Stegostoma tigrinum: one gene and its partners. The protein of the gene in region 3 binds, or shares a complex with, the protein of the main gene of each other region. Links are inferred from orthologs where the notes say so. Each region holds a gene or a part of one and is shown on either strand. Other genes may lie near its edges.

The links. The genes of interacting proteins can lie anywhere in the genome.
Region 1: ppil2 (region 3) and snw1 share a complex: the UniProt entries of both Homo sapiens proteins name them as parts of the minor spliceosome. The link is inferred for Stegostoma tigrinum from reciprocal best matches to the Homo sapiens genes PPIL2 and SNW1.
Region 2: ppil2 (region 3) and armc7 share a complex: the UniProt entries of both Homo sapiens proteins name them as parts of the minor spliceosome. The link is inferred for Stegostoma tigrinum from reciprocal best matches to the Homo sapiens genes PPIL2 and ARMC7.

What each region holds. Positions count from the first base shown.
Region 1 is NC_081363.1:13,496,140-13,499,891, reverse strand, and holds the start of snw1 (SNW domain-containing protein 1), read right to left. Parts: upstream 2,288-3,752; 5' UTR 2,191-2,287; coding exon 2,177-2,190; intron 1-2,176. Other genes in the region: adck1 (aarF domain-containing protein kinase 1), read left to right, coding at 2,718-2,730. UniProt on the Homo sapiens protein: Involved in pre-mRNA splicing as component of the spliceosome. As a component of the minor spliceosome, involved in the splicing of U12-type introns in pre-mRNAs.
Region 2 is NC_081370.1:17,573,607-17,577,358, reverse strand, and holds the start of armc7 (armadillo repeat-containing protein 7), read right to left. Parts: upstream 2,616-3,752; 5' UTR 2,509-2,615; intron 1-2,508. UniProt on the Homo sapiens protein: As a component of the minor spliceosome, involved in the splicing of U12-type introns in pre-mRNAs.
Region 3 is NC_081379.1:43,745,246-43,748,997, reverse strand, and holds the start of ppil2 (RING-type E3 ubiquitin-protein ligase PPIL2), read right to left. Parts: upstream 2,241-3,752; 5' UTR 2,157-2,240; coding exon 2,125-2,156; intron 1-2,124. UniProt on the Homo sapiens protein: Has a ubiquitin-protein ligase activity acting as an E3 ubiquitin protein ligase or as an ubiquitin-ubiquitin ligase promoting elongation of ubiquitin chains on substrates.

The sequences.
Region 1 (3,752 bases), on a different chromosome or scaffold from region 3:
CCTGCACATTCCTGGGAAGAAACTAGAACACCCGAAGAAAACCCATCCAGAAATGGGAAGAACATGCAAACTCCACATAGACAGTTTCCAGAGGTTGGAATCGAACCTGGGTCCCTGGCACTCTAAGGCAGCAGTACTGATCACTGAGCCAACATGCCATCTGAATGTGCAGATTCCACACAGTCACTTGAGGGTAGAATTGAAACTGGGTTCCTGGGGCATGAAGGAGTGGTGCTAACCACTGAACCACTGTGTCACCCTATCAACTGCCGTCTGGAAATTCAGAATTACATCTATGGACTCCCATTATCCACTTTGCTGGTTACATCTTCAAAGAAGTCTGGCAAATTGGTTAAATATGATTTGACTTTCATATAACCATTTAGATTCAGATGGATTGGGTTTTGACTTTCCAAATGTCCTGTTACTACTTCATTAATATTGGATTCCATCAACTTTATGACAGATATCAAACTAACTGATCAATAATTCTCTACTTTCTGTCTCGCTTTTTTGCTAAAGGGTATTACATTCGAATTTTTCAATCCTGTGGAACTTTCCAGAATCCATGGAATTTTGGAATATTATAACCAACGCATCCACTATTGTGGCTACCACTCCCTCGAAGATCCTATGATATAGGCTATTGGGCCCTATAGACTTGTTTGCATTAAATCCCAATAGTTTGCTCAGTACTCTTTCTCTAGTGAACAGGAATGTTGAGTTTCTCCTTTCCTATAATCTGTTCATTTGTTACTATTAGGATGGTTTCAGTATCCTCTACAATGAAACTGAGGTAAAATATTGATTTAGTGCCACTGCCATTTTTGTGTTACCCCATTATAAACTTCTCAATCTCGACCTCTTAAGTGACCAACATTCACTTTAACAACTCACTTTAGTTTTTATATACTTTTAAACAGCTTTGCTCTCCACTATTTATATTTTGTGCTAGTTTTCTTTCATAATTTGACTTTGCTCTTTTTATTACTTTTTTACTAATCCTTTGATACTCTTTAAAAGTTATCCAATTCTCTACTAGACACTTACCTCTGCAATACTGTGAGCCTTAGTTTTTGCCTTTATGATTTCTTTAACGTCCTTGCTTACCTATAAATGCTTCTCACCTCCCACCACTTAAATTATTTCTTCCTCACTGGATTATATTTTAGTTTGGAGAAACTGAACATCTCCTTCAATGTCTGCCGTTGCTCATCAACTGTCCCACCTATTTGCCTTTTTGGCTAATACATTTAGGCCAAAACTGTCCTAATGCCTATGTAATTACATCATAACACTGATGTGGGACTCAAATTTCTCACTCTCAAACTTAAATTGAAATTCAAACACACTATGTTCACTGATAAAGTGTGGGGCTAGATGAGCACAGCAGGCCAAGCAGCATCTTAGGAGCACAAAAGCTGACGTTTCAGACCTAGACCCTTCATCAGAAAAGAAACACTGTCTGCTGTTGATTGTGTATTTGAACCACATTTACTCAAACTAAATGTGAGTCTATCACGCATTTGCCAACTCTATGAAAGCTACTGAATTCATCTCACTCCCCTATAACCTTTTCTGGCATTTCTTTTTTATTACCTACAAAAATTTAACTTTTTGGTTTGGGTGATGGTTGTTACCATGGCAGCAACTATGTGGTAACACTATAGACATCACACATCTCATAATTGGTTCATCTTACAACAAAACATAAAGAATAAGCCAGTAAAACATTTGTATAAAAACAAATAATGCATACGTGTAGAATTGCTAAGTATTAAAGCGACTAAATTACAACACAACAAAAACCTTTAGCAAGCCAATCTCCAACATTCATCAATCGAGGCACTGAATAACACTTTCACATTAAATTTTGATGCTGTCCTATCATACAAAGAACAAAAGTAACTTCAAATATGATATTTTCAACTACTTTCCTCCCAATGCTGCTTATTTCTTCAAGCCAGGAATTCGCAAAAGGTAAAAGCAAGGCTTTGTTGGGCCTAGTCGGGGAATTACGAAAAGGGCTTTATTGGACGCCAGGGAAATTCTGGAAGCACAGATCCGTCTGCAATCGCGGTTTATAACAAGATGAGAGGGAAAAGAAAGAAAACGTTTTGGGGCCGAATATCCACGGAATTAAAACTATCCAACACAAACATAGAGAAGCACCTACCTCGTCAGCGCCATTTTCTCTACAAAAGTTGCTGTCAACGCCACCGTGCGTCTGACGTCACGTCACTCACCCTTGCAACGTTTGCGTCTGATGTCATCGCATATCTACCGGCCTGCCTTTGAAGACACTGCTTCTGGCGTTGTTACGCGACCCGCCTGCGTCCCTCGACGTCTGCCCACCCACGGTTCTTCCATCCTTGTTACAGGCTTTAACCTCACAGCCTTTAGTGGGTTTTAGTCGCCGTCATGACCTTTTTTGATTAACGTTTGTTTTATCATAAAAGATACTTGTTTATTTCATCCTTTGCATGCTCATCCAGTCGAGCGAACTAAAATGTGTAAAGCTGGCCCGGCATTTCATCGTTTGACCGTGGTGGTAGACATGTTGTAGTTTTTCTCCGCGGTGAGAGTCTTTTAGAAACAAACGGAACTCCCCGGCACAAATAACTACAAATCCCGGTGCACCATGCGCGAGTGGGATACTCCATTATCTGCACGGGATAGGGGTTGGGTATTCGAGTGTCAGAGGGCGAAGGTGAGTGATGACAGTCGGCGGTAAGTGCATGTCAGGCGAGACGTAGCTAACGTGATCGCCAGGAAATATAATGCTAGGCTCTGACTATAAATGAATCATATTTGTAGCTTTTGAACAGGCAACTGACAAATATATACAACAACGAACTGCGGTTACTGCAGGGCTGAAACAAACAGAAATTGCTGGAGAAACTCAGCAGGTCTGGAGTTCTGAGTCATCAGTTCTGAAGAAAGGTCTTTTTGTTTTAGTTTCCATTGATGCTGCCAGACCATCCGAGTTTCACCGCTACTTTCTGTTTCTGTTTGTGACTGACAGATATGTGTTTGATTAAATAACACTGCGAGCTGGATGCGTGGAAACTGATTACTCTCAATTGCATAAGTGAGTGAAAGGTCAGTTCTGTATAGATCACAGCAGTTCAGGGAGACTAAGAAAGCGTAAATTTTCCATAAAACCATGCAGGTAATGATATAAAGTTTGGAAATAGTTAATGTAATGTGTCAAAATGCGCATGCAAAGTTGCATAACTGTGGTATCAGCGTTGGTTGTATTGTACTAATGTCTAACTGGCAGCTGCAAAAGTTGTAAACGTACTTCCTGCTTAATTCCACAATCTGTACAGCACTATTCTCACGATTCCTATTGATGTTGGCCTTATTACTAACCTGAAAACTTGCTGAGAATACTGTTGCAAGTAATTCATTTCCATACTCCCCAAAGCATGTCTGCCATTTACAAGGCCCAAGCTAGGAGTGTGATGGAATACACCCACTTGCCTGGGTGGTACGGCTCCAGTAACACCAAGAAGCTTGACACCATCCAGGACAGGCTTGCCTGCTTGATTGGCACCACACCCACAAGCATCCACTCAGTAGCAGCCATGTGTATCATCTACAGGATGCACTACAGAAGGTCTACAAAGATCTTTAGACAGTGCCTTCCAAGCCCATACTTATTTCCATCTAGAAGGATAAGGGGAGCAGATGCATGGGAACACTTCCACCTGCAAGTCCCCCTCCAAGCTACTCATCATTCTGACTTG
Region 2 (3,752 bases), on a different chromosome or scaffold from region 3:
AACCCTAACCTCACCATCAAACCTTCAGATAAGGGAGACTTTACATAGCCAAAGCCTGGCGCCAACTTTCTGACACTTCCTCTTACTGCCTCCTCGATCATAACCCCACCCCTGACCACCAAACCATCATCTCTAAAACCATTCATAACCTCATCACCTCAGGTGACCTCCCACCTATAGCCACCAACCTCATCATTCCCCAACCCCACACTGCCCATTTCCATCTCCTTCCCAAAATTCACAAACCTGACTGCCCAACTGCCTGCTCCTGCTACAGCCTCACTTATCTCTACTTACTGTCATGATTGTCTCCCCCCCCCAGTTAGGGAACTTCCCAGCTATGCCCTAGATACCATCCATGCCTTCCACCTCCTCCAAGACTTCATTTTCACTATGGACATCCAATCCCTGCACACTTGTAACCCCACACAGATGGTCTAAAAGCCCTCTGATTCTTCCCCTCCCACAGGTCCAACCAATCCCCCTCCGCAAACACCCTCATTCACTTAACTGAATTCATCCTTACCCTTAACAACTTCTCCTTTAATTCCTCCCACTTACTACAGACAAAAAGTGTGGCCATGGGCACGTGCAGGGGCCCAAGCTACGCCTGTCTCTTCATAGGAGATGTAGAACAGCCCCTCTTCTGCTGTTACACTGGCACTGTCACCCACCTCTTCCTCCACTCTATTGAAGACTGTATTGGCGCTGCCTCAGGTTTCCAAGAGGAGCTTGAACAGTTCAACTTTACTACCACCTTTCACCCCAACCTCAAATTCACCTAGACCATCTCCAATACCTCCCTCTCTTTCCTGGGCACCTCTATCTCCATCTCTGGTGACTGCCTCGAAAATAACATCTTTTTCAAGCTCGCCAACTTCCACAGCTACATGAACTACAACTCCTCTTACCCACCTTCCTGCAAGAGAGTGTGATCCCAATTCCTCCACCTCCACTCCCGTTCCCAAGACAGGCCATTCCACTCCCGCATATCCCAGATGTCCTCCTATTTCAAGGACCATAACATTCCCCACCCCTCTTCCAGTGATCGAAAATGACCTCAACTGCCTGTCTTGTGTTTCCTGCACTTCTGCCCTCACATTCCCTTCCCGCAACAAAAATAAAGACAGAATCCCCACTGTCCTCATATCACCCTACTAGCCTCCACATCCAACATATCATTATCCACCACTTCCGCCACCTACAATCCAACCCCAAAACCAAAGAGATTTTTCTCTCTCCACCCCTACCTGCCTTTCATAGGGACCACCCCCTCTGCAACACCCTCATTCACTCCCCACTAACCCCACCAACTTTCTCTGCAACCGCAGGAAGTGCTACACATGCCCCTACACCTCACCTCCAATTCCAGGCACATAACAAACCTTCCACATCAGATAGGGGTTCACCTGAACATCAGTCAGCTTAGTCTACTGATGCTAAGCTGCTCCCAATGTGGTTTTCTTTACATTGGTGAAACCAGGCGTACTCAAAGACCATTTCCATCAAGCATCTATGCTTTGTACACAAGCAATGACAACACCTTCTGATCACAAACCATTTTAACTCCCACTCCCTGGGTGACATGTCCATCCTAGGCCTCCTCCAGTGTCTCAAATGACACCACCCACAAACTGGAGCAGCAGCACCTTATATGCCACCTTGGGAGCCTACATCCCAATGGTCTGAACATGGAATTCACCAGTTTTAAAATCTCCCCACCCCCAGCATCATCCCATACCCAACCCTCTCTCCCTCAAACACAACCCATCCATCTTCTCTCTCACCTATTGTCCCTCCCACCTCACCGAACAATCCCCACCGCTCCCTACCTGTTATCACTTTCCACAACCCATCCCTCATCTCTATTTATTTCAGAGCTCCCTTCCCCAAGACGATCTGGACCTGAAATGTCAACTTTTCTACTCCTCTGATGCTTTCTGACCTGCTGTGTTCCTCCAGCTATACACTTTGTTATCTCTGACTCCAGCATTTGCAGTTCTTGCTATCTCTTAATGTTTGAACTTGAAATGTTTGAGTTGGTATAGAACCTACCATACAGGAAAATGTTCCTAGATAGTGAACTATTTCATGAGTAAATAAGAAAACAATTTGTAGAGCTGGATGAACACAGCAGGCCAAGCAGCATCAGAGGGGCAGGAAGGCTGACATTTTCAAGGCCCGAAATGTCAGCCTTCCGGCTCCTCTGATGCTACTTGGCCTGCTGTGTTCATCCAGCTCTACAAATTGTTACCTCAGATTCTCTAGCATCAACAGTTCCTACTATCTCTGAATCTATTTCATGACTAAATCCGGTTTGATTGAAATCCTGGTACTAGATATCTAACTAATTACTTGAAACAACACTAATCTTCTCGGAAACGTTAGCAAAGCAGTCAAATTGTGAATGGCGTAAATCAACTTCTCAATAATATAAAATTCACGGAACCAGTGTAACGAAAAAAAACCGCATCAACACACAAGAACATAATAAATAAAGGACACAACCTGATCAACTCAAAATCCCCATCGACGGAAGTTGTAAAAAAACGTAACCGTACTTTTACGAGATTCGTCGCTGATCATGCGCATATGACCCACAACACCACTTCGTCTTCCCGGCAGCGCCGACGGGCGGCGAGGATGCATTTCCATTTAAAAGGCCATTTCAATCGTTTCCTTTTTTTATTCAGCGCCTTTCATGACACAGGACATCTCACGTGATTTTGAAGTGTTTCACACAGCAATCAGTTTGAGCACAACATGTTCCAGAACCAATCATGCGATAATGAACAGACAATTAATATCTCTAATGATTAAGGGACACCTCTCTGAAATGGTGAAATGAGATCTTTTAGGGGCATCTGAGAGAGCAGACACGATCTTGGTTTTAAAATCAGAACAGTACTGAAAGTACAGCAAACCTCAGCATTATACTGGAGGATCGGCGTAAATTTTAGACCCAGAATGGCAGCCCTGTGACATAGAGGAGAGTGACTGTCAAGTCACGACTGACAACTACACGATACTTTCAAAAAGCATGCTGGTATATTGCAAAGTTACAGAAGCCAGTACAGACCGATGTATGGCACATCTATCATGTAATTTAACACACGATCTTAGTACTTTGCAAATCAGTCTGAGTCAAATGTTTCATAACTATGTGCGTGAAACGTTTGAATGGGTACTGTTCATGCGGAGGTCATGAACTTGTTTTGGCTGGTTACCTCCTGACTTCCTGTTCTCTTCTGAAAGTGTTCACTATTGTTTGTGTTTGAGTACAGTACATTCATCCATTAGTAAATTATCAAAATAAAATAAAACGTTTACGTTGGCTGTCTAATTCGCCTGCAACGCAAGAATTAGTGTTTAGACTTCCATGATCTATAATCCATGTTATTGATTCAACATGTGTTGGCTGCCTGTAGTCTTTCCAAGTCTGCTGACAAGCTAGATAGGAAATTAAGTTGTCATGAAGATGTATTCAAAATCACTGCAACCATCAAACTGGAGTGATCTTCATTCTCTTCACACATGACAGATGTGCCATATATTGCTCTGTATTAGGTTGTGTTGCTTTGCAATCCACCACCATGATCAGGAATGCCATTGAACTGGTATCTGGGCAAGACCATTCTCTCTGATGAAGGGTCTAGGCCCGAAACATCAGCTTTTGTGCTCCTGACTTGCTGCTTGGCCTGCTGTGATCATCCAGCTTCACACTTTGTTATCTTGGATTTTCCAGCATCTGC
Region 3 (3,752 bases):
TTGAGGAAATATAGTTAATTTAAATGCATCCTAGTTAAAACCATACTTTCCAGAAAGGAGAGTAACCGAACTGAATTGAGTCAAGGGGACAGCTGGAACAAGACTTACTCCCAGACAGCACACACACTCTGTCCCTCCCCAACAACATAACTGACAACCCCACAACCCAGTCACCTCTTCAGGACAGTATCCACAATGTTTAACAGCCAGAGTTCCAGTTCCAAAGCAGAGCTCAGGCAAGTTGAATCCCACCGTGATTAATTTTGGAACTGAAAAAAAGTACTGCAGACTTTACTGATTTTGTACTGCAAAACATTCCTTGATGATAGCTTGTCAGGCACACTTCTCACTCTGCATCACCTGTTCATGTCAGAAAATTCTATTCTGATTTCATTTTGTTGGTAAATACAGAATATCACAGTTTCTATGAAATGTCAATGTAAATTATACCTTACAAACAAAGAAGCTGATTTCTTTCGTTGGTGACTAATGAAACACTAGCTGCTGGCATAGAAAAGGATCCTCTGAAAATCTGCAGTCAACGGCAATCAGGGAAAAATTCTCCATTGCTCACAGTCGTACCTCAATCAAGGCAACATTGTTGTGGTTGTTGGAAATCAATCATTTCAGTCCCGAAAAATCACTGCAGGGAGTGCATATTTAATTTCCTGAATGCAATCATGTTCAGATGCTTCAATGACCTTCCTTCTACCATAATATCAAAAGGGGGAACGTTCACTGATGATTGCACAAAACTGAGCACCATTCACAAACCTTCAGATATTGAAGCAGTCAATCCATATGAAGCAAATCTGGACTAAATCCAGTACTGTCATGATAAGCTACAAAAAAATCACATCTCTCAATGACCAGGCAATTGTCTCTCTCCCCAGAGCCTGTGCGTTATTTACAAGATAGAGATCAAGAATGTGATGGAATATGCTCCACTTACTGGATGAGTGCGGCTCCAGCAGCACTCATGAAGCTTAATGCCAGACAAAACAAAGCATCCCATTGACCAATACCTTCTCTAATACCATCAACATTCACTCCCTTCAACACTGATGTACAATAGCAGCAGTATGCCATCTACAAGATGCACTAATAACAACTCACCAAGGTTCTTTAGACAGCACCTTCTAAATCCCCGACCCTTACCACCTAGGAGAACAAATACGTGGGAACATCAACACTTACAAGTCTCCTTTCAATCCATACACCATTCTGAACTGGAATTATATCTCCAGTCCTTCACTTTTGTTTGGTCAAAATTCTGGAACTCCCTTTCTAACAGCACAGTAGGCACACCTAACCTCAATGGACTCCAGCAGTTCAAGAAGGTGCCCTTTCAAAAGACCAATCAGGGAATGGACATAATTGCTGGCCCAGTCAGTGATGCCAACATCACATGAACAAATAAAAATAAACTTGTCAAAATGCAAGCTGTGGATCCTTTTGCATGGAACTGACAGCAATATCTGAGTTAATTTTAGGTATGCAACTGTCATTTCCAGATACTTGAGATTAATGGTGTTTCCAATCCCTCAAGTGGTGTCATTGCCTTACATTCTGTTACTCCACATATAAACCCTGTGAATATCTGCAGGATCACTGAAATAATGTACACAGAGGTGAGGGGCTGCAATGTAGAAAGAATTGCTCCCTTCCGAAGAAGACAGGGGAAAGAAAAACACAAATAGGAACTGCTGCACAAGTCTGCAGCATACAATGCCACCTAATTTAATGCTTCAAGCACTGATTAGCAAGACTAAAGAGGCAGTACAAAAAGACCAAATGATGAATCAAAACCGTAGCAACTGAGGAGTATTTTAAAGAAGAATACAGAGGTAATTCCAGAGCTCAGGGTTTAGCAGACCGAAGAAGAGTCATTAATGGAGAAGCAATTTAATATCAGGGATGCACAAGAGCACAGAATATTGGCGATGTGGGGAGATAACAGAGATGGGGAGGGGAAGGATCTGAAAAGGGTGAGAATTTTAAAATTAAAGAGGGTCATGTACTCAGGCCGAGTCGCAGTGAACTAAATGGGCTGCTTGAGCGTCACAGGGAGGGCAAAGGGCGATGGGGCCGCTCTCCCAACAGCAAGAAGAGCTCGAGGCTCACATTTTATCTTTCTGGTGCTGCCTCTTCCCCATGGTGTCGGATCAGCCGCCGCTACCTCAAACCTCCGCTCCCAACACAACCTCCCTCAGGCCGCCGGAACTGCGCTCACTTCCGGACAGACCGGTTCGCCTGTAACAAAGGGCCGGGCAAACCCGGAGCGCTGGAGGGAATGTTCCGCCCCGACTGACGTCTGGAAAGTTAACAAGGACCCAGTGCGAAATGCAGAAAGGAGGTCAAGCAGCATCATCTGCTTGGCCTGCTGTGTTCATCCAGCTCCACACTTTGTTATCTTGGATTCTCCAGCATCTGCAGTTCCCATTATCACTGCAGAAAGGAGGTGTCCTGCTGTTTGGGTCCACTGCATCATCTGCTCAGTCATTTTGAATGGCTCGATTTTATGGTCAATATACGGTTTTCCAAAAGTTTGCAGGATAACTATGGATTTATTTGCTCCATTGTGACGGCAACATAGATAGTCTAAATTAACCTGATGGGGTATGTTGTGGTATACCTTTGGCAGTAGGGTGAGACTTGAACCCAGCTTCTCCAGTTTGGAGATGAGGACACTGCCACTGAGCCGTACGAGCCAGCACATCACTGCATGGATTGCAGTGATTCAAGAAAGCAGCTCAACACCATTTGTTCAAGAGACTATGAGGCTTGGACAATAATGCTGGCTCAGCCAGTTGCGCCCACACCATCTGAATTAATGAAATACGTCTATGTATACAGAGGTTAACAATGAAAGGTAGAGACTTAGTGGCATGATGTAAAGACAACAATTTCTCCATCAAGTATAGTAGGAACCACAGATGCTGGAGAATCTGAGATAAAAAGGTGTAGAGCTGGATGAACACAGCGGGCCAAGCCGCATCAGAGGAGCAGGAAAGCTGACATTTGGGGCCTAGACCCTTCTCAGAAATTTTCGTCAGCTTGCCTGCTGTGTTCATCCAGTTCTACAACTTGTTATCTCAATCTCTCCATCAATATCAGTAACAAGCAGGAGCTGGTTATCAACTTCCAACAAGCAGAGTGAAGGACATGCAGCTGTCTGTATCAATGGTGCTGAGCTGGAGACAGTTAAGAGCTTCAACTTCCTATGAGTAAAGATCATCAACAATCTGTCCTGGTCCATCCGCGTCAATGGTCTGATTGAAAAAAAGCATACCAACACTTCTTACATCTTCAGAAGGCTAAGGACATTCAGCATGCAGCACAGAAAGTATCCTATCCAGATGCATCCCACTCCCTCGAGAAAGGAGCCAACATAATCAAAGACCCCTCCCACTCCACTCATGCTCTCTTCCATTCTCTTCCATTAGGCAGAAGTTGCAGAAGTATGAAAACACGTACCAATTAATTCAAGAACATCTTCTTCCCTGCTGTTATCAGACTTTTGATTGGACCTCTCAAATATTAAAGTTAATCCTTCACTGCACCTTCTCTGTAGCTGTAACACTATATTCTGCATTCTGTTTCACACCCTGTTATACTTATGTAAGTTATGATTTGCTTGGATAGCACACAAAACAGTATTTCAGTACATGTGAAAATAATAAATCAAATTTAATAGAATAAACCAATAAATTGACAGTGGAAAACATTTAACCATGAAATTCAAAATAATT